Caenorhabditis elegans: one gene and its partners. The protein of the gene in region 3 interacts with the protein of the main gene of each other region in a biochemical or structural test. Each region holds a gene or a part of one and is shown on either strand. Other genes may lie near its edges.

Region 1 (3,149 bases), on a different chromosome or scaffold from region 3:
GTTATTTTCTGTTTTCGCGGTAATCATAAACCGAATTGGATATTTTATTTTTTCGAAACTTTTGCAATCGGCTCGGCTTTGGTAGGAAACTATGTATAAGTACTACTTTATCTTCAATTCTAGGGAATTCTCGGTTTTATTGTGAATAAAATCCCTAGGACTGATTTTTTCCATGTATTAATTGCCATACGAAATTTCTCGGAAAATGTTCTTAAAAATCATCAAAAACCAAAATTCAACGATCATTACACTTTCCACAAAACTACAAAATTGGCACCCAAAACTCAATTTCAGGAGCTTTATTACTATATAGTCGGCACATTATGTTAGAAATTCAAGAGATAGACGCCTCAATGGATTTATTACGGCAACTACGATCCTTGAAACAGTATCCATAATGTTTGTTCAACCCCTGCAGGGAAGACACCAACTGTTTCATTAATGTAATCCTGACTGATTTTCCCGGATTCTACCATTACAGTTGCAGGGTACAATTGCACAATTGGAAAATTCTTAAATATAAGGGCACTCATAAACTTAATAAAAAGTCAAATGTCAAACTGAAAGCTGTTTTTATTTGTTCAACAGAAAAAGAGGAAGTGAGATAGAAAAAGAGAGAGAGAGTAAAAAGAACATTGTTTCTGCAGCGTTTTCAAAGAGAAAAGGAGAGGATAGATATTTCTTCGGAATTGGAATTGTGGAGTGTCTGGAACATCATTTTTGTATAAAGTTACATTGAGAGGAAAGAGAGAAAATGTTGTGTCATGTTGTTCGTTCGTTCGAGCAGCAACCGTTTATCCAAATCGGAGAGGACGAGGACCGAGACCACGTTTCATTGATCTGAAATTTTAAAATTAGTTTACTTTTTTCTGAATCGCAACTAATTTATTCTAGCTGAATGCTCGTATTTCGGTAAATTATTAATTATAGCGATTTGCAACTTATTCTACAGTAAGACTTGACTTAATAAAGATGTCTATCAGAAAATAATTAAACTGGACCTACCCATGATCGTCTTCGGCAACATAGTAAACTCTGTCACTGCCGGGTCCGAATTGCTCCAAATATGCGTTCACTGAAAAAGATTAATGATTAATCTAAATCTTTAACTTTGACAAAACTTACAAACGCGGAGCGCATCTTCCTGATCGATATAAGGCGCTGCGAGGACCCACGCGAGAAGACACGAAAGCAAGATGAACAGCCGCATCGTCTGAAAATGACTTTTTGGATTTTGGAGCAATGAGAGGGTGGGAGATCAAACGTTGAATACACAATCAAATCTTAAATAGTGTACATAGTCATCGTTGTAAATTTGCATTTGTTAATGAGATTCTTGCGAAGCATGATGGGATGGGGTGGAAAAAAAGAAGTTTTGAGATAAATAGTAAGACGGAAGTGATCACTACGGTAGCTTTGAAACAAGAAATGAATATTTCAGTGTATCCCCTTCCAAATCTACTGGACTACTCACAAAAATGACCTTTGCTCCAAGAGCAACCACCCATCCTAGAACCTAGGCAAATGATACATCGAAATGTTTTTTCAGGTAAGATGATGTTATATGTATACGTGATTCCGGTAAAAGTTTTTTCTGGGAACTATGAGGAGGGTGTATGTGGTGGGAAAACAGGATAGCCCAATATTTATTGGGCACGTCATACTCGTTGCAGAGCATAGTTGAGGTGGCCGGAAATCGCGTTAAAATATGCTATGACTTGAAAACAACAATGGTCCTATTTTGGAAGATGTAATTTTACGCGATAATTCAACGAGAGATTGTAATAAAGACGTGTAGATTTTGAGTAACCATAAAATATGAAAAATTCATGAGTATTACAAATATGCAGTTTTTGGAATAAAGAAAATAGCTGACTTGAAAAATCTACTGCTCGATGACTTTGTCTAATTACGGTCTTGAAAGAAAGCAAACAGCGTCTTGTGCATTATGAGGTTTTTTGAATAAAAGGAAGTGTGCTCCGCTTAATTAAGATAAACATGTTTCAGTGTAAGTAGTTGGTCCCGACTGTAAACGCATCAGAAAACTTTAAGGTGAGAACAGTTGAGTTTCAATGCACGTATTTGATACAGCCAAAAGTTATTAAACTTTAATTGAAAAGTAGAGATTTCCACAACACATCTAACCTTTTAAAAATGTGACAGTTGATTTGAAAAAAAAATCTAGGACTGAACTAGGAAAACTGTTGACATACGTTCTTCTTTCTTTTCCCCTTTAATACCACATTGTTTTGGTCAAAAAAGTCTTTAAGATTTTTAATATTCGCAGACATCTCAACCAAATGAGGAACAGTCACAATGAAGACCACCTCAAAATGCATGTAGGTTCTTCTTTTTTCTGATATTTTTGCACAGCCTTCCCCAAAACATTCACAAACACATAAAAAACACCAACCAATTGATATACCCACAAAAGTGATGTGAAGAGCAAGTGGGAGTAAGATAAATGTGATGAACGATGAGGTGGAGGGTAAAAGTGATGAGAAAATGTAGTCTTACAAATATTCAAAAAAGTTGGTAGTTTTTGATACGATAAGTTTTCGATGAAAACCAAAAAAAGAAATAAAGAAGCTTTATGAGCCGAAAAAAGTAGAGATTTCCACGATTATCGAGTTACTTCGGGGCACATTTCGTCATCATCGAAGAAGAGGAAACAAATTTTCGTTGGCTCATTGACTTTCAAAGTTAAACTTCTTTAGAGAGTTTAGCGAGGCATAAAAACTTGAAAATTTTGTAATTTTTGGACTCGGTTTCAAACTAAAGAATGGAAAAACTTTTCCCTGTCCAAATGTCAAAGTCGCATAAAAATTGTCATTGGTAACAAAAAAAGTAGTGTTTTAGTGGGTCAGTAGATCAAATTTAACATTTGGCAGGTGAAAGAATTTGTAGAGGTACACGTCAAATGCTGGTTTTTGACGCGTTTTCTCCAAGATCTCTTATATTTTGGTTTTGGAAATATCAGCATTTTACGAAGTGGCCACCTAACAATTACAGACGAGTATTCACATCACCATATGTATTTGTGATTTTTCGAGGAATGATATCGAAGACTGAAAATTAGAATAAAATTCCAGGATAAGAAGGCTTTGGCTTAAAATCAGAGCTTAAGCTATTAATTTGTCATTTTATTA
Region 2 (4,649 bases), 1.8 Mb from region 3:
TTCTATTTTTACAATATAGTTGTAGTATTTTTGTCGAACATATATTGTTCTAACTAACTTCTTAAAAAATTGTGCTCTTGACTGAACACAAATTTCTGCGTCGTTTCACGTTTACTTTTCTCAATTTTTTAAAACCAAAATTTAACTGCAAACTTCTGCATTGTTCTAAAAACTCACAGGTTATCTCAAAAAGATAAATTTCAAAGTGAGATTTTTTTAAAAAAATTCCGGACTGTTTTTTGATTTTGATGTTTTTAATGAATTTTTAAAATTCTTTATTAGTGCCTGAAATTAACAATAATTTTAAAGTTTGTCACACTGCGAATAAATTAATCTCACATTTCGTATGTTTAGAAAGATGCATGAAACTCCGTCGTTCTTATGAAGTTAATTAAGACATGGCTAATTGAAAGCCCACATGGTCATGAAAAAGTAAAACTTACAACTTTTTACTGAATATTAACCAGTCTCTATAAATATCCCAGCTTAGCCGGAATAGGGTCACGAAAACATGAAAATAAAGCTTGAACCTATTGTTATGATTTTCAATGCCACCTTTTGCAGTTTAATATACACTATTACTACTTCTCAGTTCAAGTTCACTTCTGAGACGGAACCTTTATTTTCTAACTTTCTTTAATCTTACTTTTTATGAGCCGAATGTTCTATTTTGTAAAATGATCAGATACAAGCCCAAAGCTAATTTTGCCAATAAGTGTTAGTAGATCAATTGAATTACAATATAATGACCTGGGCGGAATAGATTTTTGCACTGATTTTTTTCCAAGCTTACTCTATGAATATTCATAGATCATCTTCAAAGGTAGCGTGTGTTGTAGTTGTGTTTTGGCGGGTTCGTGTTATTTGACTCAGCTCAAGTAGATGTTGTAGTCTTCCCTCAATCAACGCGTGGGCTTGACCCTCTTTAAATTGAGTGGAAACCAGCCAATCTATTTGAAATCTACCCCCGAAATGAGATTCGACGATGACACGACGTGTGTGTTACGTGCGCTGAGAATTTAGGAAAAAAAAGATAATCTTCTTTTCGTTAGCTGCGCCACAACCTGTGCAGATAAACTCCGCACAATTGAAGTTCTTACTGGTCCCACCCGATTTATTCAATTGTATTGTGTCTTTTTTTCTTATTTCTCTACAACTCTAACTTTCTTCAACTATTCTCTACATCAGTGCTTTTTTCCACCATGAAAAAAGAAATGACGTCGTTGTTTCTTAGGAGGGGCGGAGCCTCAACTCAATGGTCCGTTCGAATAGATCCCACCCCTCATATAAATAGGACTGAAACCAAAGAAGTTTTTAAATTTTCAGCTTACCGTGTTTCTCAATTTTCAAAATAGTCTTTTTTGTGTCTGAACGGGCTGATCAATTATGTTTTTTTTTGAATGAAAAATCTTCCTCCCAAGCCTTAAAATTCCTTCCAAAGATCGAAAGTTATGTCTATTCAAGTTACTTCTTCTTAGATCAAATATTAAACAAAAAAATACGCCATCATTCTCTCACATTTAGTAATTCAAAATTTCGATTTGTTTTCGAACTTTTGAATTTCCCGCCTAGGAAGTGACATGAGTGAAATCTCATTAGATAAATGTGCCACTCACCGATGACACTATTTTCAAATAAGGGGGGGGGGTGTTTCGAATACCTTGTACACGCGTTTCCGCAAAACCACACACCCCGAGTTCCTCAGCTTCTTCCCCTCGACCCATGAGCCACGTCAAGATGTCAGCGTGTCACTTTTCATTGCTTCACCTTCTACGGTAACGAGAAAAGGCGGGGAATCCAGGATCTGGTGTGACTTCTTCCTTCTTCGTATCTTCCTAAAAATGTTCGTTTACTTTTTAGCGAGTGTCATTTGATGGGATGTCGTTCTTGAGGAAAGAGGCTAGAAGCTTAATACTCTCATATTTCATATTATTGGCATCAAGACGTTTATTATTTAACTACAATAACGATTGCTTTAACAACTAAAAATAATAATTTCAGGGTTAGACATGCAACGGTGGTCGGGCGTTCTTCTCATTTCGCTGTGTTGTTTGCTTCGTGGGGCGCTCGCATATACCGAACCAAGTAAGTTCTTGATGAACGAAACAAAGAAAAGTCTTGGCTGATCCAATCTCTTAATTGGGTTTGAAGGGAGTTTGGATAGCCCCAGATCAGCGTGGAAGATTGAATAAAATGACGGCAATAATTTGTCTTAATGTAATCTTGAATTTTATTTTAAAATTTTTAACTTTGTAGTTTGTCGAAACGTTGGTTTCGCGTACATTAGTTTTTTTTCAAAATTCTGGACCTGACGTAGTTAGCTGAAATAATTTTGCGCGGTGTTCAAACATCGCATCCGTATTGAAACTTCATTAGTTTTTATAAGCTTCTGTGATATTCATTTTCCAGTGAGACCTATGAATAATCTTCGCTGCTTCCCACGGTCCGTGAATCTCTAGACTTGGTGTTATTGTCTTATTGAAAAGTGTTTCCACTGACCTTCAAACTTTCTATAATCTAGAGTGGCCCAATGTATTTTTGGAAGGAAAAACGCTTGGATGAAAACAAGATGTAGCGGGAAAAAAAGGGGGCGCCTATGGATATTGTGGAAAGATAGTGTTGAGTTGGATGCTGAGTTTTTTATTCTTTCTTGTCGGGGCCCGTTGGGACATGTTTCGTTCGATGGTGCTCTGTACCCATCTAGACCAACGCGGGAAGCCAAGTAAAATGACGCTGTCGTTCTGCCAAAGTGATGTATTTCGACGATTTCAATCAACAAGAAACGTGTTTTTTTTCGTTTCTTTTTTCAACAGGGGTGCACAATTGAATTGTGTCGATTTGAAAGCATGAATTTGAAATTTTTGAAAATTCTCGTAAGGTCGATCGAAACACATACATAACTGCAATTAGGAGGAATTTGGACGCTTAGCGTCCGATAGGGGCGCAAACTTTTTTTTCCAAGGGGTAGTTTTTCACGGCGTCCGATAACTTCCGAGTTTGACCACTCACTATACATAATCATATAATTTTATAATGAGTGGCTCAACTCGGAAATTGTCGGACGCCGGACGTCCGATATGGCAGCCCTAAATACAAGACGGCACATTGAAACAACTTATATTTTCAGTCTATGAAATCGTCGAAGAAGACATACCAGCAGAGGATATCGAAGTGACTCGGACCAACGAGAAACAAGACGGTCGGGTATTCTCAAAAAGAGGTACAAAATTCTTCGTACAACTAACCATCAATTTTTTGTCTAATTTCAGACTTTGATGGGGCGATGCCAGGTGTGTTGCGCTTTGGAAAACGTGGAGGTGTTTGGGAAAAAAGAGAAAGCAGTGTGCAGAAAAAAGAAATGCCGGGAGTGCTCCGTTTCGGTAAACGTGCATATTTTGACGAGAAGAAAAGTGTTCCAGGTAAGTAGTTCCTTGTTGGTTTATTGCATACTGAAAATTGACTTTCAGGAGTTCTTCGCTTCGGGAAACGCTCATATTTCGATGAGAAGAAAAGTGTTCCAGGTGGCATCATCATCTATTCTAAATCAAATAACATCTCAGTTTTTAGGCGTTCTTCGTTTCGGAAAACGTGATGTGCCAATGGACAAACGGGAGATCCCAGGAGTGTTGAGATTCGGAAAGAGAGATTACATGGCTGATTCGTTCGACAAGCGCAGTGAAGTGCCCGGAGTTCTCCGTTTCGGAAAACGCGATGTTCCCGGTGTATTGAGGTCCGATCATTTTAAGACTTCATCCAGCTTACCAAGGTTTTTGTTTTCAGATTTGGAAAGCGATCCGACTTGGAAGAGCATTACGCAGGGGTTTTGCTCAAGAAAAGTGTGCCAGGTGTTCTCCGATTCGGACGGAAGTAAATTGTAAGTTTCTAAATAAGATTTTGCCAGTCTGACATGTATCAAGTTTCAGATGAATGTGAATGTAAAATGTGCCAGCGACAATTCGATGATCTCGTTGTTTTTCTTCTTTTCTTCCGAGCGTCTCATTTCAATCACTTAATATTAAGTTTTTGTCTCTTTTCAACAATGATACTAAACGTTGTCAATTCTAGAGCTCCATACGATTAAATGAATCATTTCCTGTTACGTCAAACACAGTTCGTCTAATTTTTGAGTAATGTAGTTGTGTGTCTATCAATTGTTTTCTGAACAATGTTGAAAAGCAGATTTGTTCATGGTTGACGTGTGTTGAAAAGAATAATTACCTCCAACTCTGTGCATTTTAGGAATTGATTCATTGAGCTTTCAAACGATGAAAAAGTATGCTTTGTGTTATGTCAGTTATCAGATTAGATAAGTCTAAACAGAACCCAGTGTGAAATGAGTCTATTCATGAAGCTGCTGAAAATTTGAAGCATGTGTATCAAAATGATTCCAAAAAATTTGAAACGCAGAAAAGTTTTTTGAATTATCAAATAACCAACTTCATGTGCACAGGTAATTTCCGTCCTTAATTCTCTTTCAAGTTTCAGATTTGATTAATTGAATCTGGGATCATGAAGATTTTTTCAAACTGCTTTTCCCAATACACTGATGAATCTAGTACTGTACAATTTTTCTTTCATTTCAGAGAGAGCATCAATATTAAAATTAATTGTAAGCAAGTCAACAAAGTCAACAAGTTTTCTACTTAATT
Region 3 (5,108 bases):
TTTAAAAAGAAACAAACATGTATTCAATTGTTGGTATTTTAATTTTGTAAAAAGTAAAGTGTGCACGGCAATCAAAAATACTCGGAAATTAACATTTTCGGCAATTGCTGAAATTTCCGCAATTGCAGATTGCTGACAATTTTTAGCAACTTTTAAATTTAATCTTATTCTGAAAACGAATTATTACACCTTGTTTAGTGTTCTGTAAATCATTTTTCGATTGGCAATTCCGGCGAATGATGGCTCAGAAATTTTTCAGCAAAATTCCCGATTTCCGAAAAATTCGGCAGTTTGTCTGAAATTTTCAAAACTCCAAAATATTGCATAGCGTTTTGTTTTACCACATGTTCAATATTTGAACTCTTCTTTTTGCATAATAATTTCGTGTTTAATTCCCTACCTTCTAGTCTTCTGAAGCACTTTGCTTTGAATCATTCGTTTGTAGAACACGAGATGATCGTTTAGTCTACGAGACCACATATCATCAATTTTCGTATGTGTACGTCATGAAAACACTTATAGATATATATGCATCCTATGTATTATTTATTCAAAAAAAAGATCATAAAAACTATTTCAGCAAGGATGAAAGTGATGATAGTTGCGAAATCAACGAAAAAAGGATATGTCAGAAAACAATCAGACTAGCGTGTCGTTGACGCTGAACTCGATCAATTCTTCCGGCTCAGCAACAAGTTTACTAAAAAATCAAAATTTTAATTACGATTTCAAATTCACGTTCTACCTTATTTCAGGACTTGAAACTTCATTCAACTGAACTTCCGGTGTAGGAGTCCTCGTATGACCGTTCACATGATAGCTTAAATTTTCCGAACACGAGTTCAGCTCCCTCTCCTTCAACGCCTCGTGGCTACCACCACCGCCAATTTTGGCTCTTCCATTCAAGTGCTTCGTATCATGCACGATCTTTGTTTTGTAAACTGATGTTTGATTGATTATTCTGGAAGACAAAGCACAATTACAACGCGTTTTCGAAATTGACAACAAACCTGTCACTTTTACGCCGGTCTCCAAAATATGTCTTTATGACCAGTTGACGGAAACTTGGGTTCAGCCACGCATAGAGTACCGGGTTTAAAACATTGTTCGACATGGCAATACTAGAAACGTTAAAATTAATATTTGCAAAAACATGAAAAAAATTGAATTCAAAGGAGGGATCCGGTTTTGGGTATTTTGAACATATAGTCACAAAATGTGCTCAATTGAACGAATTTCGTAATGAAACTTCTCAAAACGTTTTGGGCCAAAACGTTAATTTCAGCTAAATCCGCAACTTTAGCCACTTTCCCGACTCACAGCGGTCAGAAACTGGCTTTATTTGAATAATCATCATTTGTGCCATTTGTAGCTTTTATTTCACGTTATTTCGTTGATTAAGGTATCTTTCAATCCAATAGGTAGCCGATTTTGTTCATTTTTTGTTACTTATTGGCTTAAAAAATACCTTAATGATCGAAAAAAGTGAGATAAACTATTAAAATATGCGATAAAGGACGATAATTTTAAAAAAAGTCAACTTTCGACAGCTGCGGAAAAGTGACAGAAATTGAATATTTTAGCTAAACCCAGGTCTTTTTCCAAAAAATGAACCGGCATAAAAAAATTTTGAGAAGTTTTATTTTGAAATTTGTTCATTTGAGGCATGTTTGGGTTTATACGTTCAGAATGGTCAAAACCGTTCGTTCTTGGTTAAAATCAAACCTGTGAGTGAAAAGGTTCAGTAAATAACTGATATCGTAATCATCTCTGCCATAAAGTCGGAAAAACGATTGTGTGTCATCATATTCAATAATCAAAGAAATGACGTTATGTGGCAGCCAAGTTATCCCAAACCAGACAACCATGGTAACTAGGATTGACGTTGTTCTAAAACACAAATAGTATTTCGGTTAGAAACCTTGCATTTAATACCTTCTGTTCTGAAGTACAACTCGTTGTTTCTCCTTTTCCTGTTTGTCTAGAAATTCGTTCAACTGGAACGAAATCAAATGTGAATTTTTAATTTGAAAATCAATAAAACTACCTCATTTTCATACTGTTCAAGACCATGCGACGGGAATGCGCAAGAGCTCTCCAACGCGCTTGTTCTCTCCACCATTTTGCGTATCTTTGTCTGAGCACGCTTGCTGAGCACCGAAACAATATTTGCATAGCAGAAGGCCATGACAGCGAATGGGACCACGAATTGGGCGAGCATCACGATCATTGTGTAGGCTCTTCTAGACTTGGCAGATTCCCACTTTTCAGTGCAAAAGTAGCCGCATATTCTCTCTTCCTGAAACGAGGGTACTAGTTGTATAAGAAGTTGAATACCTAGAAAAAAACGACACTCACTGTGTATTCAATCATTTGCATATTGAACGCATAGGGTAGAGTTACAACAAAAGAGAGGATCCACAATAGAACAGTAGTAAGAAATGCTCCTCTTTGGGATAGTGGTGTAGAATGTGGTCTTACTACAAGGATATACCGATCCAAAGCAATCGCACCGAGACTGAATGTGCATACGAAAATGCTGATACCTGAAAAAAAAACGTCATTTTAAAAAACTTCTTGTTTTAGAAAAAATACCTTGAATGCATGGTATCAAATGGCAGAGTAGATTTCCAAAGTACCAGTTTTTGTACACATTTGTGATTGGAGTGATTGGAAGCGATAATATGCACATCATGCAATCGCTCGCCGCCAGGTTCAGAATGAATATGTTTTGAACGCTCTGAAATTTAATGATAATTCACAGGAGAAGTGAAGGTTCTGGGATTTTTGATTGGACTAGTCAGAGTAAAAATCTTGATCCGCTTCAAAAAATGTTAAAAACATTTTTGTGATGTTCCATCACGTATTTGGTTCGTTTTTGGAAAAATTCTTTCAAGAAGTGGTAATTACTCAGTTTGACTGTCTATAAAATTTTTTTTTCTAGTTGTGAAACGTTTATTATGATATTTGGTTATATAGAATTATAAGAGTGTTTTTTTTTTTTGCCAAATATGTACGTCACTTTTCAAGTAGACATGGATAACCTCGTCTCTCGTTAGCCGGGTGTCAGTAAGCTGTACGCACTATGCACTTCGAATCAAATTGTTCAGAGAACCCGAAATTGTCAATTTTCCAAAACAGAACAAAATTTGACCCGAAAAAAAAACGAAACGTACCAGTAAAGCTTTATGGCTGCAAGTTACGTAAATCAAGGTCACATTTCCAAAGAGTCCAAGAAAAAAGAGAAAAAGGTACACGGTCAGAAATGGCACTATCGCATATATACTTTGAGAAGGATCTGGATACACTTTCCAATATACTTGACAGTCGGTAAAATTTTCAACTTCCATTTGGCCTATGTCTGAAATTTTTTTAGTCTAATGGAGGAAAGAAAAATTGAGGAAACAAAGATGAAAGAGGGTGTTAACCAAATAGATTAATAGATAAAAAATAAAATCCTATAGTTTCCAGAAAGTGATTAGAGATTTGGCTGAGTATAATTCTTTCTTCTCATGTAAGCAAATTTTTAGGGTTTTTTTAGCATGGCTTATGGCTTATAGAAATTAAATATTTCGTACTCACATCTTTAAAAACCCCAAAATTATACTATTTCTTGGCCCACTAACAGGTTCCCGGTCTAGACAATACGACAAAATTTTAAAATGCAACTTATAAAGATTGTGTGCACTTATAAAGATTACTGTACTTTTCATTTCTCGTTGATGAGTTTTGGTGGTCTTTTCATAGGTTTTCTTACGAGTCTACAAAAATTTTATAAGTTTCAATATACAGTATTTTTTAAAGGTGCAAATGTTTTCAGTTGACAAAAAAAACTTGTCGTGTTAAGATCAGGTTTAGTTAAGCTGTGAAATGGCAATATTTTGCATCTGGGTGATAAGGCAGTATAGGTGCAATACTTTTAAAAAATAGGGTAAGTCTAATTAGGTAGTTCAACCACATTGTAAGATCGGAGACCTTAAAACCATCTTGAGCTTTCAGAATGTATATTTTTGGCGGAATACACCTGCGAATTGATACAGATTACAAATGACAGAGATTCATTACAGAATTATAGATACTGGAAGCACAGGATGTCATCTATCGCTTTGACAAGTGGAAAATTTTTTATTTTTTCCGTATGGTTCAACAACTACCTAGTAATAAATGGATAGAAACAAGATATTGGTAAACCAAGGTTCAAAATTTCTAAACCCTGTGTCAAAAAAACAGCACTGATCTATGTGACGAATATCTTAGACGGAAACCAGAAAAAAATTGCGTTGAAATTTGCTAAATGTGAAATGAGAGCAAAAACAGGAATGATGTGAGAGGGAGTTGTGTGATGAAGCCGAAAAATGGTTGACATGTTCACGTTAATGAAAAAGGGATCGAGGGCCGAAAAGATGAATACCTGAGAAAAAAGAGAAAAAGAATATGTGGGGAAAATTTACTGAAACAGGTTTCAAAAATTCCGCAATTGTTTTCCAACTCTATTTTCGTTAAACAACGGAAATTGAATTTTTAAGTAGGAAATAAAAAAAAGTGACAATGGTTTTGATCATGTGTGGGTTGAGATTAAATTTTTGATATCAATCAAAACAACACAAACCCAGAGGCTGATTGAGTTTTGGATAAACTGATTAAATTTAATCTCGAAATTCTCTGAAGCCAGATTTTTTTAAAGTTGAGCTACAATTGGATCGGGCGACGTTCAAATCACAATTCATTTTCAAGGAGAATAATGCATCAAATTGGAACATTCAATGAAAAAAATCCTATTATTATATTTTTTTTAACAACTAGGCTAACGAACTTATTTTTCAAACTAGTTACTAATAAGGAAAATTTGTTTTCATGCTTTCATAAATTCAATTTAAAGTTCAAGTAGTTGTCATTGTAATTGTTATGAATAAAGTTCAAAGTTTTCAGAAATTAAAACTAAATCATTTTGCAATATATTATCTATCCTCGAAAATCAAAACATCATTAAGAAATATTTGTTCTTTGAAATTAAGGAGACTATTCAGAACTATTTCCTTTTACTGAGAGATTTAGTTGCATGAGACCGAGAAAATTAAGTGCTTTTCACAAACTCAATGAGCATTATG
Region 4 (5,343 bases), on a different chromosome or scaffold from region 3:
AAGAATTAATTTTTTAAATTAAGGTTTTTTTCTAGTCATTGAAAAAAATTGAATTTTCGAACAATATTCACAAAATTTTTTAACTTTCTTTTTTGAAAATCGGGGTTTCTCTGAAAAGCACTACAAATCAAAAGTATACAATTTTTTTGTAAAAAAAACACCGGAAATTAAATGCTTTGAAAAACTTTGAAAAATAGGAAAGTGCCGATTTTTTTCCGAAAAAAAAAACTGGAAAATCGAAATTTCTCGTTTTTCCATTTACAATATTTCTAATTTTCAAAAAAATTGGGCGCCCAAGGACAGACTAACTTTAAGCCTGCTCGCTGCCTTATTCGTCACTTTAATCTCTTGCTCGGTGAGCATCCGATGAGCCTGTCGGGTTACTGTACAAGCCATTAGTCTGCCGATTTTTTGTGTGAGCATTTCGAGAAAATTCTGAAAAAAAAATCTGAAAAAAGTTGAATTTTACATCAAAAAGATAGATTTTCGTGATTTTTGAAACATGGAAAATATTTTTTTAAAAATGCCGAAAAATGAAAAAAAATTATTTTAAAAATTTAGTTATTAAAGATACATGGAGAAAAGCACCTATTTGAAAGAACGTAAGGCAAAGCAAGATTATTAAAGCAATTTTTGGGCAATAATTTGGGGAGAGGGTGAGTGTTGAGATTAACATTGTTTTGGAAATTTGTCTGAAAACGGAAAAAGAGATAATAATGTACATATAGGGATATCTAAAAATCTAGAACAAAGAATAGAAGAGAAGAAGTTAGAAATGAGTATACATGAACTGGAAAAAAATAGAAAAAATAGGGATTTTATGGTGGAAAATGCAAACTTTTCAGCGAAAATTTCAGTTTCAAGAAAAGATCTTTCAATATTGCTACAAAAGTTCTATTTTCTCGGCTAAACTAATCAATGTTTGCAGAAAAATGCGAACTCTTGCAGTAAAACATTGAGGCCACACGAAAAGGGGAGCAGAACGAAAAGGGGATCTGCAAAAAGGGGATCTGCGAAAAGGGGAGATACGAAAAGGGGAGCAACGAAAAGGGGATCTGGCACTGTGCCAAGCGCTATTTTTCTCGAAGAAAACGATACAACGATGCTCCGATGTTACGCGTCGCGTGTTGTTAAGCGTATCTTCTAGAAGAAAATTTCAAAAATCAACGTGCGTTGCGTGAGAAAAATTGCGTTTTGTGCGTTTGGCACAGTGCCAGCTCCCCTTTTCGTTGCTCCCCTTTTCGTATCTCCCCTTTTCGCAGATCCCCTTTTTGCAGATCCCCTTTTTGCAGATCCCCTTTTCGTTTTGCTCCCCTTTTCGTGGGGCCTCAAAACATTTTGATGCAAAAATTTTAGAAATATTGTTTTAATGTCCATTATCTATATTACGGGAGCACATGAATGCGTATTGCACAACATAATTGACGCGCAAAATATCTCGAAGAGAAAACCACAGTAATTTTATAAAGTACTACTGTAGCGCTGGTGTCGATTTACGGACATCATTTGAAAACATAAAAAAGACAACAAAAAAAAAAACGAAAAACCAATTCGAACACAAATTTGTATAAAAAATAAAAATATATTTTTTTGTTTGTTTTTTTGTTGTCTTTTTTTTGTGTTTTCTTTCGATATTTCATCGATTAATAAATGATGTCCGTAAATCGAAACAAGCGCTACAGTAATATTTTAAAGAGTTACTGTAGTTTTCGCTACGAGATATTTTGCGCGTCAATTATGTTGCGCAGTACGCATTCTCGAAATTTAGTGTTCCCGTAACATTTAGTTTTGTTGTGGCTTTTTTCGTATTTTTTCCAAAAATTCTCGAATTCTTGATTTCTACAAATGTTCCGTCTTTTTTATCTTCGTGGATTTGTCGAAGAAGACGGCGTCGGGAGTGTTGGACTCTGCTGAGTGGATCGAATTCTCTGTCTTTCGAATCTCCGCTCCATTTCATCCAGGAGTTTCGGCATATAACGGATCACTAGCTTTACACTTCCGACTGCGGATTTCAGAAGATCAACTGCTTTTTCGTGGCATTCGGCTTCCACGTTCTGAAATTTTTTTAAAGTTATTTTTTTGAATCAAAGTTTTTTTTCTAATTCGAGTTATATTCTTCTACTAATTAAAAGTGTAGTTGTTTTCAATTTTAAAAAATGAGAATAAATTGTTCATTTTTTCGAAAAAAAATATTAAGAAAAATTTATAATGTTCTTTTATATGGAAATCTTCGTAAACCGAAAAATTCTGTCTTTTATTACTGGTTCCTTTACTTTTTTCCGGTTTATTTTCTGAAAAACACTAAAAATCTGAAATCTTCGATAAAAAAACACTTAAATTAAAGTAAGTTTCGTTTTTTGCTTAAAAAAATGAATTTTTAGATTTTTTTTTCATTGAAAAACATTGAAAAATCAATATTTTTCGATGTTTTTTTTCCGAAAAAAACTAAAAAAAAATTGAATTAAACATTTAACCCACCACTCCGTTGACCGCAATAAGTTGATCGCCTCGTTTGAGACCTCCGTGTCTGTCGGCTACGCCACCAGGGATTATTCTGCAATTCAAATCGTTTTTTTTAAATTATAAAATCATTAAATATTTTTATATCTGCACCTGGAGATGTAAATCGGTGAATTTTGCTCCTTGCCGCCCATAACATTGAATCCAAGCCCTTGATCGGTTTTTGGGAGCTCAACGATACGTGGATGCGCGTGGCCTTCGGCTGCAGCAAACGCCGCCACTGTTGCTTTAGCTGTTGCGGCGGCTTTTATCTGAAAAATGTTTAGTGTTTTTTTTTGTTTTCTGTTGTTCAAAAACGGCTCAAAATTATTTCGAAAAATAAAAAAACTACAATTTGAAATTTCGACAACTTTTAATTATCAAGGTTGGCGGCAATTGTCGCTCGGCTTTTTTTTTGCCAAATTCGGCAAATTGCCGATTTGCCATAATTTGCATTTCCGGCAATTTGCCGATTTGCCGAAAATTTTGATTTTCGCCGAACTACCGATTTTCCGGAATTTTTTGTAGGGATTTTCATTATACGGAAACACTTAAAACTGTGCCTTTTTGAATTTTTTAAAATTTAAATTTTGAAAATTCCAAAAAAAATGTGCAAAACCACAATTTGCAGATATGGCGGAAGTATTAATTCGGACAGTTTGCCAATTTGCCGGAATTATCAATTCCGACAATAAGCCGATTTTCCAGGAATTTGAATTCCGGCAATATGCCGATTTGCCGGAAATTTCAATTCCGGCATTTTTGTCAGTTTTATCAAAAAAAACTGAACCTCTGGCGTTGTATCCGCATCAATTGATTCATAAACAGTCTCATAGACCTCTCGGACGGCACCGAAAAATTCGGATTGTAGCACCTGCTGCAGCGATGCCAATTTTGCATTATTGACCTCTCCAGTCTTCTGAACGTGCTCCATGAGCTCTAGAATACGCTGAACGTCCCGCTCCAAATTCGGACCATCCGGGTTATCCATCTGGAAGATTTGGTTGGAAAGGAGGGGAAAAATAGGACGGAAATAGGTAAAAATGGCAAGAAAACCAATTAAAAATTACAAAATTAAGCTATCCAGAGCGGAAAAACATTATTTACTATTCTAATTGACCATAGCCCGTCAGAAAATTATTAAACACAACAAAACCAAAAAAAAAATCGACAAAAAATTAAATTTAAATTTCATGTCGCAGCGTGTGCTTCTGAGACAATTCCAGCGGAATCACATTGAACGTCATTTTGTACAAATCCACGTCTTTCCTATACTCGTATCCCTTCATCTCCTCAATTTCATAGTCCGGATCGCATTTTTCCTGGGAGATACGAACGATTCCGTCGCAATGGGCACGCAGAAGACGTTCTCCGCGATCGTTTTCATAGTAAACCTGAATAACTTCTCAATAATCAAAGATATTTGATAATAAATCTTACATTTAACCCTGGATGATAATTCATTTTGAATTGATTCACCAGCAAATCGTCTTTTCGCACAACTTCTCCGTCTTTCCGGAAAATTCCACGGAACGGGAGATTCTTTGGTGGTCGTAGAAGTCCGCGAATTTGTTGAAAACTACCGGTGAATCCCTTGAGGCCCATCTGAATATTTAAATTTGAATTTAGATAATTTTAATTGTTAAATTATAATTTTGAGTTGCATTGCATCACTAGAAAGATATTTTATTGAAAATTAACGTTTTTCAGCATTATTTAATGCTTTTTAACGATTTAAACAATTTTCTCATTTAATTTATTGATAAAATATTGAGAAATGTTTAATTTTAAGCATAAAATGAATAAATCCTGCTCCGGAAAGTCCGATAAATGCTTAATTGTTTTGGAGACTACGGTCAACATTTTTTGTACGCAGTACGCAACGTGTACTGCAGACCGTAGTCGAGAAAACCTGCGCATCTAACTGTCTTCCTCGCGCCAATTTTGTTTCGAAATTTCTTTTTTGGCTGTTTTTCGTGTTACTTTTTGCCGGATTTTTGCCGTTTTTATATGATAGAAATATTATGTTTTGTGTCAAAATAGGTAAATTTTCCATATAAAACCTGATGATTCAAAAAATTTTGTGAATTTGAAGTCCAAAAATGTGGAATTTCAAGCCGACACTCACGAAAAATTTTCACATTGTGCATACGTTATAGTTTTTAGAATACAGAAAAAAACAATATAGTATTTCTGAGTGTCGCATTTTTGAGTGGTTTGTATATTAGTATATTTTCTTGCAATTTAAATGTAATTTTCGAACTTTTTTTTCGAGATTGGAACATATTTTTACCTTCTGCAAAAATATTCTGTTCTTTTTACGTTTCCCGAACTTAATAATTGTTTTTCAGAACCAATCCAAACAATCCGCAGCAATGGGAAAGCGAAAGTCGAAGAGAAAGGCTCCAACCAAGGCAAAGGCTGTAATGCCACTCGACACCCAATTCAACTGTCCGTTTTGCAATCATGAACGCGTTTGTGAAGTGAAAATGTACTTTCTAAGGAAAATCGTTTCAAAAAAAAACGTAATAATTTTCCAGGGATCGCGAAAAGAATGTCGGTTATATCTCGTGTCGTGTCTGCTCTGAAGACTTCCAAACAAACATCAACTACCTCTCCGAGCCAATCGACGTCTATTCTGATTGGGTGGATGCCTGTGAGCAGGCAAATAACGCCTGAATATTCCCCATCCGTCAATCTTAAATTCTTATACGACCTCCTTATAAGCCTCCAAAATCCCCATCGCGTTGATCTCTTTGCTTTTCTCAGTAATTCTATTTCCTTCTATCCCCAATTCATCCACACACTTTCTGGATCATCATTGCAGCACGCCTCGAAAACCGG

The links.
Region 1: of the proteins of npr-1 (region 3) and flp-21, one has a biochemical effect on the other in vitro, tested with the Caenorhabditis elegans proteins (4 studies listed by BioGRID, with this or other methods).
Region 2: of the proteins of npr-1 (region 3) and flp-18, one has a biochemical effect on the other in vitro, tested with the Caenorhabditis elegans proteins (3 studies listed by BioGRID).
Region 4: the proteins of npr-1 (region 3) and lin-7 form a complex in vitro, tested with the Caenorhabditis elegans proteins (one study listed by BioGRID).

What each region holds. Positions count from the first base shown.
Region 1 is NC_003283.11:7,791,431-7,794,579, reverse strand, and holds flp-21 (GLGPRPLRF-amide), read right to left. Parts: upstream 1,214-3,149; 5' UTR 1,211-1,213; coding exon 1,126-1,210; intron 1,076-1,125; coding exon 1,006-1,075; intron 841-1,005; coding exon 795-840; 3' UTR 555-794; downstream 1-554. UniProt on the Caenorhabditis elegans protein: FMRFamide-like neuropeptide. Involved in modulating locomotion quiescence during the sleep-like state called lethargus which occurs during molting between larval and adult stages, acting via the G-protein coupled receptor npr-1.
Region 2 is NC_003284.9:3,011,639-3,016,287, reverse strand, and holds flp-18 (SVPGVLRF-amide 3), read left to right. Parts: upstream 1-2,001; 5' UTR 2,002-2,009; coding exon 2,010-2,085; intron 2,086-3,127; coding exon 3,128-3,220; intron 3,221-3,269; coding exon 3,270-3,419; intron 3,420-3,467; coding exon 3,468-3,521; intron 3,522-3,567; coding exon 3,568-3,730; intron 3,731-3,780; coding exon 3,781-3,871; 3' UTR 3,872-3,874; intron 3,875-3,923; 3' UTR 3,924-4,098; downstream 4,099-4,649. UniProt on the Caenorhabditis elegans protein: FMRFamide-like neuropeptides. Ligand to G-protein coupled receptor npr-1. Involved in modulating locomotion quiescence during the sleep-like state called lethargus which occurs during molting between larval and adult stages, acting via npr-1.
Region 3 is NC_003284.9:4,766,625-4,771,732, forward strand, and holds npr-1 (Neuropeptide receptor npr-1), read right to left. Parts: upstream 3,362-5,108; 5' UTR 3,351-3,361; coding exon 3,177-3,350; intron 2,741-3,176; coding exon 2,596-2,740; intron 2,547-2,595; coding exon 2,359-2,546; intron 2,300-2,358; coding exon 2,048-2,299; intron 1,998-2,047; coding exon 1,936-1,997; intron 1,891-1,935; coding exon 1,726-1,890; intron 1,122-1,725; coding exon 1,011-1,121; intron 962-1,010; coding exon 746-961; intron 701-745; coding exon 640-700; 3' UTR 528-639; downstream 1-527. UniProt on the Caenorhabditis elegans protein: G-protein coupled receptor for FARP(FMRFamide related peptide) neuropeptides. Activated by FARP neuropeptides flp-18 and flp-21. Plays a role in modulating social and feeding behavior.
Region 4 is NC_003280.10:14,345,303-14,350,645, forward strand, and holds lin-7 (Protein lin-7 homolog), read right to left. Parts: upstream 3,491-5,343; coding exon 3,290-3,490; intron 2,772-3,289; coding exon 2,614-2,771; intron 2,555-2,613; coding exon 2,479-2,554; intron 2,055-2,478; coding exon 1,860-2,054; 3' UTR 542-1,859; downstream 1-541. Other genes in the region: Y54G11A.9 (Core domain-containing protein), read right to left, coding at 310-423; Y54G11A.17 (L51_S25_CI-B8 domain-containing protein), read right to left, coding at 3,684-3,893, 3,940-4,104; elof-1 (Transcription elongation factor 1 homolog), read left to right, coding at 4,875-4,990, 5,040-5,178.